2 linked regions of the Caenorhabditis elegans genome follow. The protein of the gene in region 1 interacts with the protein of each later gene in a biochemical or structural test. Each region holds a gene or a part of one and is shown on either strand. Other genes may lie near its edges.

Evidence for each region.
Region 2: of the proteins of cul-3 (region 1) and ned-8, one has a biochemical effect on the other in vitro, tested with the Caenorhabditis elegans proteins (one study listed by BioGRID).

Annotation. Positions count from the first base shown.
Region 1 is NC_003283.11:175,478-183,848, reverse strand, and holds the start of cul-3 (Cullin-3), read right to left. Parts: upstream 6,271-8,371; 5' UTR 6,206-6,270; coding exon 6,149-6,205; intron 5,380-6,148; coding exon 4,463-5,379; intron 3,658-4,462; coding exon 3,021-3,657; intron 2,367-3,020; coding exon 1,988-2,366; intron 161-1,987; coding exon 1-160. UniProt on the Caenorhabditis elegans protein: Probable core component of multiple cullin-RING-based BCB (BTB-CUL3-BTB) E3 ubiquitin-protein ligase complexes which mediate the ubiquitination and subsequent proteasomal degradation of target proteins.
Region 2 is NC_003279.8:10,372,772-10,376,110, reverse strand, and holds ned-8 (Ubiquitin-like protein NEDD8), read left to right. Parts: upstream 1-2,248; 5' UTR 2,249-2,251; coding exon 2,252-2,338; intron 2,339-2,406; coding exon 2,407-2,553; 3' UTR 2,554-2,738; downstream 2,739-3,339. Other genes in the region: hpo-35 (PB1 domain-containing protein), read right to left, coding at 1-119, 167-575, 631-725, 955-1,054, 1,101-1,160, 1,214-1,297. UniProt on the Caenorhabditis elegans protein: Ubiquitin-like protein which plays an important role in cell cycle control and embryogenesis. Covalent attachment to its substrates requires prior activation by the E1 complex uba-3-ula-1 and linkage to the E2 enzyme ubc-12.

The DNA.
Region 1 (8,371 bases):
ACAATCGCCGCCTCCACTTCCAACTTTCGATCATCCTCAACTTTCTGGCGAGTTTCACGAATCTCGGGCTCCGATTCCACTTTTCCTGTCACCATTTGCACTTTGACACGTGTCAGCTTCGATTGGAAGTTGTCGTTGACGGCGAACTCGTCACTCATGTCTGGAAAAATTATAAATTGAAATTATCGATTTTTCTGGGTGCTTTTTTAATAGTTAACGTAAAATATTCCAAAAAACATAAATTTCCGTATGAAACAGTTCAAAAACGTGAAAAAGGCAAATTTTACTAGGGAATGGTGTTACCCCTGCAATCGCTAGGAGGACAAAACAAAGTGAAAATGGAAGATCAGATCTATGGCTACAAGAATCAGTTTTTGGAATCTGCTTAACTCGGTCCCAAAGCTGAAATTTTCGGTCTTAAAAAGTAGTCCTTTTTTTGCTCAAAATGCCGTTTTTCGTGTGTAGAAGTGGCTACATAAAAGTTTGGCACTGCAGCCGCCGTTCGAATGGCCGATTGGTGAACTCTTGTGCTCATTAATCTAAAGGTCACGGGTTCGTTCCCCACTAGGTATTAATTTTTTTTTGAATTTTTCCTCTAGCATGAAATATGCACAAAAACACGGTTTCTTCCGTTTTTTGGTAACTTCGGAATAAATTTTTTGGTTCCTGGGAATCATAAAAGTAATTTGGAAACTTTTTGGAAGTTTTCTTTTTTTGATAAATTTTCACTTTTCTCCCACCTGATGTATGCACATTTTTTTCTTCAAAAATAATTTTTCAAAATTTTTTCAAAAAGTGTTTGGTTTGAAAGAGCAGCATTAGTTTGGATATTTCTACGATTTTGGAGGATCAAATGTCATTTTTAGGAGAAAACCACTGTTGTTTTCTCTAGACTTTTTCACGAAAAGGACCTACTTTCAAAGACTTCCAGCTCCGTTGACGAGTAAAATAAAAAAGAGTTGTCAACTGCAAAGTTATTTTAAAAGTACCAATAAACAAATTGTCAGTTGAAGTTACTCTGCTAAATTTTATGGGTAGAGAGATATGGACATTAGTAATTAAGTAAGTTAAAGCTTCACTTCGATTAGCTATATCTCTCTACCCATAAAATTTAGCAGAGTAACTTCAACTGACAATTTGTTCATTGGTACTTTTGAAATAACTTTGCAGTTGACAACTCTTTTTTATTTTACTCGTCAACGGAGCTGGAAGTCTTTGAAAGTAGGTCCTTTTCGTGAAAAAGTCTAGAGAAAACAACAGTGGTTTTCTCCTAAAAATGACATTTGATCCTCCAAAATCGTAGAAATATCCAAACTAATGCTGCTCTTTCAAACCAAACACTTTTTGAAAAAATTTTGAAAAATTATTTTTGAAGAAAAAAATGTGCATACATCAGGTGGGAGAAAAGTGAAAATTTATCAAAAAAAGAAAACTTCCAAAAAGTTTCCAAATTACTTTTATGATTCCCAGGAACCAAAAAATTTATTCCGAAGTTACCAAAAAACGGAAGAAACCGTGTTTTTGTGCATATTTCATGCTAGAGGAAAAATTCAAAAAAAAATTAATACCTAGTGGGGAACGAACCCGTGACCTTTAGATTAATGAGCACAAGAGTTCACCAATCGGCCATTCGAACGGCGGCTGCAGTGCCAAACTTTTATGTAGCCACTTCTACACACGAAAAACGGCATTTTGAGCAAAAAAAGGACTACTTTTTAAGACCGAAAATTTCAGCTTTGGGACCGAGTTAAGCAGATTCCAAAAACTGATTCTTGTAGCCATAGATCTGATCTTCCATTTTCACTTTGTTTGTCCTCCTAGCGATTGCAGGGGTAACACCATTCCCTAGTTAGCAAAAAAAACCCAACTTTGCCAACTTTCCCATGTCCCATGGGAAAGTTGGCTGCAGCGATTGGAAATTGATTTTTTTTTCAAATTATCAATTTTTTTCAAAAAAATTCGAAAAACTATAATTTCCTTTTCATACCTATCGCATCTTTTCCCTTATTCTTTCTGACCAAAATCCGCTGCGACGCTTTTCCGAGAGCCAGCGACTGCAAATTCCTCTTCAACTCTCGCTCGGGAATCTTAAGCTCATCCATCAGCTGCTGACATGAGATCCGATTGTGATGGTTGAACTGAAGGAGAATGATCATCTGATGCGTATTGACCTGGAGAATCTTGTGCTCCGGTTTTCGTTCTTTCATCGACTCTCCACTGCTCGACGGTCCAGGACCATTTTCCTCGTTTGACATGGATGCTTTTGGTGGTGGATAGAATGTGGCTTTGACGTCAGCGTTTCCGAGAAGTGTGTTGATTGTCAGCTTACGGCCAGTGTGCTTTTCAGTGTAGTATTGTGTGAACATCTGAAAAACGAGGGGAAATTGAAGAAATTCCAAAAATCTTTGTGAAAAAATATTTTTTTAAAAATTGCCCTGGTTTTATATTTTAGCTTGAAAGCACGTTTAATCGCACCCAATAATATTTTTAAACTCGCGCCAGAGATATTCTCATTGGAGCGCACCGTGTTGTGTCGATTTACGGAGATTTCAGTTTTTCCACAAAAATGAAACATACTTATTGAAAAATTGAAATTGGCCTGAAAATTTCATGAGAAATCTCGTAAATCGACACAAGTGTGGCGGTCCAATGAGAATGTCTCTGGTGCGCGTGTGAAAAGCGATTTCAAGCAAAAATAATAGATATTCGGAATCTTTTTTGGCTTTTCTGGCAGAAAAATGGATTTCTAGGTATTTGGTCAGAAAAACTAGAAGAAACGTTTTTTTTTTGAATTCATCTCATCGCGACTGGAAATTAAATTTTGAAAAAAAAACATACTTGTTGTTTTTTGATTGGAAAAACCGAAAAAAATATATATTGTCTCTAAAATGCACATTTTTCTGTATAAAAAATCCATCTTTTGGCAAAAAACGACAACCCTGCGTGTAAGCAGACATTTTTGCGGGTTTTGTGAAACATCAAGCTCAAAAATTGCAAAACCAATTGAAAATTCGAATTACCTCATAGGCAACCGACAACTCTTGCGGCAACACAACCGGATTACACTGAACCGTCGGCCAAACGCCCGCCGTCAAAACTCTAAGCGATATGTCAATGCTCATTTTGGTCGGCTGAGCCTCTCGCCAGTCTCTGAAGCTTGTGGCCAGTGTCAGCCAAAGCTCCTTGTCTCTGAACATATTCTCAAGCTTCTGAGTAAACTGGCAACCACACTCTGTCTTCAGCTTTGCCAGCAGAGCCTTCTCCACATCGTCGGAGCACGATTTGTCGAGCAAGAGACGTTTGGCGAGGTATTGCTTGAAATACTTCTCGAATACATCCTTCTCCTGTAGATAGCGGAACAAGATCATCACATTGTCGAGCTTATTGTCCATTTCGGCGTCCGACACACATTTCAGACCGCTTCGCAGCATATCGTCCATGTAGAGGGCCACAAATTCCGGCGATTGGCGATTCGAGTTGAGGAACGTCTCGAAATCATGCTGGAAGCGATTCTTAAAGTCACGATCGTCGGCAAACGCAGTGGTGAGCAGACTGGAGAAGTAGTCTTTGAGCTGGAGCAATTCGTTGACAAAATTGACGGGGTTTTTGAGCAGATCCTCATTTTTCACAATGTTCGAGCCGGTTTCGTTGAGATATCTGGAAAAAAAAGTTAACTTTTCTTGCTGAGCAACCCCCAATTCTGCTCTAGTTTTCTGAATGCTCCGTGTTCAACTGTTAGGGTTGGTGTTATCTAAAAACTAAAACCACCAACAGCTGAGGCGTTTTAAGGAGAAGCGGCGGTGTTCGACGTAATGGACAACAGAACAAATAAACAGATTGCTGCGGGCGAGTGACACGGGTTTAGGTCAGAAAAGTAGAGTTTGATAAATAAAAATACAGTAAATTGGCTGGAATTTAAATTTCTTGAAGCGAAAACGTGGCCGCGAAACCTCTACTAACACGGCCATGTGTAGATTTACGCGACTCGTGTACTCCACGTGGATTATTTTTTACGGTTTCTGGCTGAAATGCTTGCATTGGTGGTGTTTTACCATTAAAATTAGAAATAATTTGAACGATTAAGCATTTTAGCTAAACACTGTAAAATCCTCTTCAAAAAAAGTGCCAAAGTAAAGTCTAGATTTAACCATCAAATACATAAATTTTCGAGGAGCACAAAAGCTGGTTAAACCGACACATGGAGCCATTTTGGGTGAAATTTTCAATTTTTTACAAAATAAAATCATTGAAATCTCCGCATTAAAGCAAAAACCCGTAATTTCTGGGGTAAAAAAACAAAATTTCCCCTCGAAGAGTACACAGGCTTCGTAAATCGACAGATAACCATGCTAGTGCCTTTTTGTGGTGAAAATTGTTCAAATTTTAATTTTACAACGTTCCTCCCACGGCTGTAATCACCAAATAATTCAATTTCTAAAAAAAAATCGCGCGAAAAACTCACTCGCTAACCGCCTTAAGCAGCGCCTTCAATCCACCACCCGGTACTGTCACCGAATCTCCGATACGTTTGAAAATACGGAAAATGCGAGTCAAATCCTCAATCTTCTTGTGCTCCAACATAAACTTCACACCACCATTCTGCATGTAGACAATCGTCTGAATATGCTCAGCAACCATCACATCATCCATCACCTGCAGGATTTTGGCCTCTGTCATTTTGTCAAGATATCTCGACGCTCGGCTCGCCTCGTCGTGCATCGCAATCTCCACCTGTGCCAGATAGAAGCACGCGTCATTGTCGCCAGAAAGCCAATTCTTGCACACATCCCGATAGTAATCACTAGTCTCCTTCAGAAGTGGCCTCTCAAATTCGTCCTCATAAACCGTCCGGCTATCGATTCCTAGCGAGATGAGCATATCACACGCGTTTTTTATTCCGTGCCAATTGATTTGATTCGATTTTCGATCCAATTTGATAAGCTCCAGAAGAGCATCGCGAATTCGGTCGCCAATCCCGTTTTGCCGCAGAATTTCCGTCCGATACGCGTCGAGACCCAGATTATAGACCGGCAGGACGTGATTATTCTGTGCCACGTAGATCCGATCCATATACATCAGAATATCACGAATCATGACCATGGCGACAGTGTGATCAGCCCACGATTCGGCGACAGTCTCCAGGAAGCTTCCAGAATTCATTGATTCGATAATTCGAATTCGAACCGACGCCATATGATCCTGAATCACGTCTTTCAGGCCATTATAGAGACGTTCTCCGTGCTTGTGGAGCACCATTGTATATGCGTTGCGGTAGAGCTCCTCGAAACTCAAGCCCGAATTGTTTTTGCGTTGGATTTCCTGTATGGCACGCTTCAAAAGTTCCCATGTCTGTGTCACATATTGCTCGTCTATTGTGGCCTGAAAAAAAATCATTTTTCTCCGTTTTTTTTTTGCGGCTTTTCTAAATTTTGGGCATTTTCCTTAAATGACCAAAAACTGGCCCGACTATTAAAAAATTTCCAAAATTTCATTATAAGAATTCAAAATTTTCGGAAAAGCGCCAAAATTTGCTAAACTCAGGGATTTTCCAGCTAGAAAAGTTTACGAAATATCAGATTTTAGCAAAATTTGGCAAAAATTTTGGAACTTTTTTGGGATGAAATTCGGTAAATTTCGATCAAAAATGCGTTTTTTTTTCGTGAAAAAAACGCGAAAAACTCTTATGTGAGGTCATTTTTGCGAGAACATTGCCGTTTATAACAAATTTCATGTTTCTAATGGCTAGTCCAAGCAAATAGGAAAAAAAATAGAAAATCGATAAAAAACGGCGGAAATACGATTTTACAGTTTTTCTCTTCGTTTTTTCCTGGTTAAACGGTCAAAAACAATTATTGACCATTAGAAATCCCTCAGAATCGATTTTGTTATATGAAAAAAAAATATTTTGCTTTTGTTCTTTAGAAATGACGAGTTTTGGCACGTGGCACGCAAACTGAAAATGATTGCCACGTGGCATACAGTTGCCAGTGGAAAAATATCAGTTTCTCATCAGAAATTGACGGATTGTTCGGATATCGCGGATAATTCGGCCGTAACATTCCAAGTTTCGTTTTAAAAAAATCGATTTTTCACGCAAAACAAGGAGACAGGCTTGATAGAGGACTAAAATCTGTGTGTGTAAACCTACCATAAATGGGCGAATTCTCATTTTTTGTTGTCCACCATTACCGGAGCGTCCGCTCATCTCCAAAAATGAGTCGATTCCGAACGAACTGGTCAAGTCAGAATCTCGCTCGTTTTTCGTGCACACTGAAATAAACTTGATTTTCCGTTCTCGAAAAGCAAAAAATTTGAAAAAATCGTACTGCGGAATGTTATTATTGCAGAAAAAGCGCGCACTGATAACAGAAAAAACAAAACTAACTATTTTCAGCTTCAAAGTTGAGAAGTCGCGAGTAATTCGAAATAAATCGATTTTGCTTTGTTTTTTTTTCGAAAAAACTTTGAAAATCCGGTAATTAGAATGTCACGCAAAAATAAATAGCTGGATATCAACTTAATTACTCGGAAAAATCAATATCATTATCTCGAAAGTCACTGGAATTTTAATTTCGCGCGTTTTTCCAGAACTTTTTGCCTATTTTCCGGCTCAATCAATCAATATTTCACTTCGAATCAAGTCTAAAACACCTTTAAAAGCTTCAATTTCGAAAAAAACTATGAAAAATGCGAGAAAAATCGAACGGGAACAGTGTGTTTTGGAGTTCAGAAGTGCACCGAGACTGCGTCAATGCGGGTTTGCTGGCGCGCTCCTCGTGCGTTGGCGCTTTTCTCGTGAGGAAGCTTTAAAAATTAATTTTCAACCAGAATTTTAGAATTTTCAGAGAAAATTGGCGGTGTCCACGTGGAAAAATAAATAGTGTTTTCGGTAGAATAAACTTTAAATTTATTTAAAAGTACAAAATTTGTGGAAAGCCCTCGAAAATCGGTTGAAAACGATCTAAAATGATTAAATTTACTTAATAAATTAACAATATTCGCTGTTTCAAATTAATAGAAAGTCGCAAAATAAATATTTTTATTTGAAAATAAGATGATGTTGAAATTGGAAATTTGAGAAAAAACAAGAATTTTAAAAAAATCAGAAAAATAAATAAAATTATAATTAGCCGAGTCGAAGTTGACGTTGAGAAGAGGAAGTTGAGTGATCTGAAAAAAGAAACAGTTTAATAAACGAAAACGAGTTTTAATACTTCAGGAAGGAGTACAGAAATATACAACATTTCCTATTCAAGCGGAAAACGGAAATTATGGGGTGTTTAGGGTGGCGGAAGAAGCTGGGATCAAATCATTCATACAGTTCAACTACAATGATTCGAGTCATGGCTTCCTGGATCTTATTACTTTTTATTCTGAATTTTTTAATTTCCTGTAAGTTTTGCCAAAAGCTAGGATTTTTTGAAGGCGTAAAAATCGTGTTTTGCCATAAATCTGAGTAATCTTACAATTAGTAAGCTGAGCGTAATTGTTCAAAAAATGGTATAATTTTTCACAATTTTTCTCAATTTTGCACCAATAATTCAAAAATGGTCAATTTATTATTTCGAAATTTCTGCGTTTTAGGCTTTAGGCTAAGAGAAAATCCAATAAATATTGCAGGAATACGCAAAAAATAGAATTCATTCGCGCAGGAATTCAAAATTAATGTGGTCATTTCTAATTTTTTTTGCGAAATTTAAAAATAATAGCAATTATATACAGATTTTTTTCACTGTTTTCTCTTTTTTTGCAATTAAAGTCAGGGCTACCGTACTCCTGGTGGCTCGTGTTCTTCACCGTGTATATTACGGTAACGCAAAATTCTGAGAATGCGTATTGCGCAGCAAATTTGACGCGCAAAATATCTCGTAGCGAAAACTACAGTAATTTTTTTAAAAATTGCTACTGTAGCGCTTGTGTCGATTTACGTGCTCGATTTTTGAAATGAATTTGTTTCCGAATAGTGATATCGATATTTTATTTTCCTCCGCGCCTGCATAGTATTTTCTAAATTTTTTGCTCAATTTTAATCGAGCCCATAAATCGACACAAGCGCTACAGTAGTAATTTAAAAAATTACTGTAGTTTTCGCTATGAGATATTTTGCGCGTATACGTTTCGTAATACGCATTCTTCGAATTTTAGTCTCCTGTAATTTCAAAGGGGGCGAGGGAGGCAACCGAACATTTTCGGAAATTATCGAATTTCCGTACGAAAAATACTGTCTATTCCTGTTTCAAAAGTATCAATAATGATTCAATATTTCCCGCCAAAACCAATATGAATTCAACAAAAAAAGCAGTGAAGCCCTTTTATTTCCGGTGTGCATCAAAAGTTCTCCTGAACTTTGTTGCCCAATCTCTGAGTATAT
Region 2 (3,339 bases), on another chromosome or scaffold:
TTCGGCTATCAGTGTTGGAGCTGAATCCATCGACTTTTTGGATAAAGTATCAGATAGAATATTTTTAACGTGATGGTATGCTTGTGATTCTGTCCATTGACGGTTGGAAAGTGGGGATTCTGAAAATGGACAAAAAATATTTTTTAAATTTCAGTATTTACTATACTTTTAGCAGGTGAAGCGAGTGGATCTCCAATACGTATCAATCGATGTTTCACCTCTGTATCCTGTTGCTGACCGGTTTGACCACGTGGTTTGGGCTCTACAAAAGCTTCTTTCAATGGTATCTTGTCGCTAACAATCATTGGAGCTGTATAATCAGTTAGAATTGGCGCAATTCGAGATTCATCATCATCGTCATATTCTTCACCTTCTTCATCTTCATATTCTTCCTCGTCCTGACTAATTTCTTCAGAATCACAATTTTCATCTTCAACATGAGACACTTCTTCGTCCTCCGTTGAATCATACTGTTCAGAGTCTCCATCTATCGGAGTAGCTCCTCCATTTGGAACTCGCTTCTCCATTTTGTGGCTTTTGCTCTGTGGCGTAACATTCCATACGTAATCTTGATTCTGAAATTTAAAAAAATTAAATTAGATTACATTCTGATAGATTTGAAACTTTTACCTCTACGTACAGAAATGCAGTAGGATCATTATGAACATGGCGAATAAATGTGTGAAGCTGTCCAGTAGTTGTGATTGGCACGTACAAACCATTGACTGAAAATTGTCTAGCTTTACAAAGAAAAAAATTTATTCAGAAACAAAAGGGACCTCGAATACTGCCTGAAAGCTGCAGTTTCTCAAAATTTGCAAACAACAGTTGAAGTACTTTTCTATCTTTCTATATAAATTTTCGATTAAAACTTCTACAAAACTATGAGAAACTTTAACTTCGAATTTTTGTCTGAAAATTCGCTCCGAAATGGGATTTTTTTGAGAAAATTACCAGAATAATGCAAAGAAACAGTTTCGTCGTTGGAAATTGTAGCCAAATAGTTGTATACATCCTCGTATGTAACTTCCACATTCGAACGATACAACATTCTCTGAAAAGAAATGAATAAATCTTGAACTATCAGATATTTAATTTACTTCTCGAACATAGAAGGTGAACTTTTTCTTTGGAGTTCCAACGTACATGTAGCTGATTGCCTGAAAGGGTTGATTTTAATGTTGTTGGACTCGAAATCTTCAGAAATACTTACGACAATGTGGTCGTTTTTGTTCTTTTGACGTTTTCGCGCATTGCCTGATGATTTAGGCAGTTGTGACATTACCATAGTAGGCATTTCGGCTGAAATTTAGTTTATTAAGTGGAAGCATTAATTTCAATTTATGAAAAGGATAGAGAAATGTCATTTAAGCAAGAAAATCGAAGGCTCTTTGGAACGCTTTATGGAAGAGTGCAAGTTCGGCCACAAGGCCAATGTCTATTTATTTTCTGCTCAATGAGTGCTCATTAATGGGCTTATAATAGTAGTTATGATGGCCGTTATGAATGGTGAAATAATTTATTTAATTTCATGTTTGGGTTTGTGTTTTGTTCTATTTCACCCCAATTTTTTGAGTAATGTAAATATAATTTCTAAATAGTGTTCCGTGATTCATGAATGATATTTTAATTCTCCTATCCACAAATCTGTTTAATTTTCATTATTATATCACATTCGACCAGTAGGAAATATGAAAATCGATAACTAGTGTTTAGGATGAACCTAACTGAACTTCCTAGGAGATCAGAACGCGCAGTATTTGTAAGAAATCGATTTGTTCTTGATACGCTGAGCGCATTTGTTCGAGAAAGGTACTTCATTCGCTTTTCTTTCGTCTTGACGAACGGTGAGCAATTTTCTATCTCATTTCTTGAATTTTTCTTCTTCTTTTCTCAATAATATATTTCATAGCTATGAGAACTTTTAATACTTCAAACAAAATAGATTTCGGACTAAGACTGAAATTAAAAATGAAAATAATATTATAAAAACAAAAATAAATATTAACAAAAAATAACTGCGTAGTAAGCTGCTGCGTCTCTCATATTCTCATGCTCTCTCGTTCGTTCTCGCGTTCCAAATGCGCTCTACCGGACCCCTCTCATCATTCTTCGAATTTTGTTCTTTTTTTCAAGTTTAGAGTTAAATCCATTGTTTTTGAATCACTTTTTATCTGTTAACGCAGTATTTTGAAAATTTTATGTTAATTTTCACCTAATATTCGCTATTTATCGTCTCAGTTTACAGAAAATGCTCATCAAAGTTAAAACCTTGACTGGAAAGGAAATTGAGCTGGACATCGAACCAAATGATCGAGTCGAGAGAATCAAAGAAAAGGTAACATACTTTAACTTCCATTTTAGCTAAATTTTATCTCGAAATATCCAACGAAAATTATTTTGCAGGTCGAAGAAAAAGAAGGAATCCCACCACCCCAACAGCGTCTCATTTTCGCCGGAAAGCAAATGAACGACGACAAGACAGCAGCAGATTACAAGGTTCTCGGTGGATCTGTTCTTCATCTGGTTCTTGCTCTCCGCGGAGGATTTTAAGAAAATGTATTCATATAAAATGTAAACTCCCGTCTGAATTGAGCCCGCTCCAAATAGAAACGAGTCACAGTCCCGAATGTCCCGTTTTTATGTCCAATCTCTCCAACTTTCAATATTTATTGTTACATCAGTTCTTTAAATCATATTCCTCATTTTATTTTCTGTGTTCAAATAAATAATGCATTCTTGATCTCGTGATGCTATTATTTTAAAATTAAAAGCAGTCCTGCCCTGAACGCAACGGCGAAACAATTAGTGCTTCTCATTGACAATTTTCTCCTCATTGAAAAGGAATATTAAAAAAAATCTCGGTAACTCTTAAAAATGTTTTTCATTTATTAGAAAGAAATTGATGAAAATAACACTATGGTAACAAAAAATCCTGAGAATTCGTATTACGCAACAAATGAGTACTGTAGCACTGCTGACGATTTACGGAAATCATTTATTAATCGATAAAATATTAGAATAAAAAAATGAAAAAAATAATACGGAGAAATTCATTTCGAAAATCGAGCCCGTAAATCGACACAAGCGCTACAGTAGTAATTCAAAGAATTACTGTAGTTTTCGCTACGAGATATTTTGCGCGTCAAATATGTTGTTCAATACGCATTCTCAGAATTTCGTGTTCCCGTAATAGATGGGTCTCATCGCGAGCAAAAAAGTTTGGTAACGCTGGTTGTACTTTCTTCTCAATTTTGATTGTCTCAAAATCACAGTTTTTCATTCGAATATGAGCGCAAAAGATTGGAATATATTTATCCGTCACTGGATGTCTTGTTA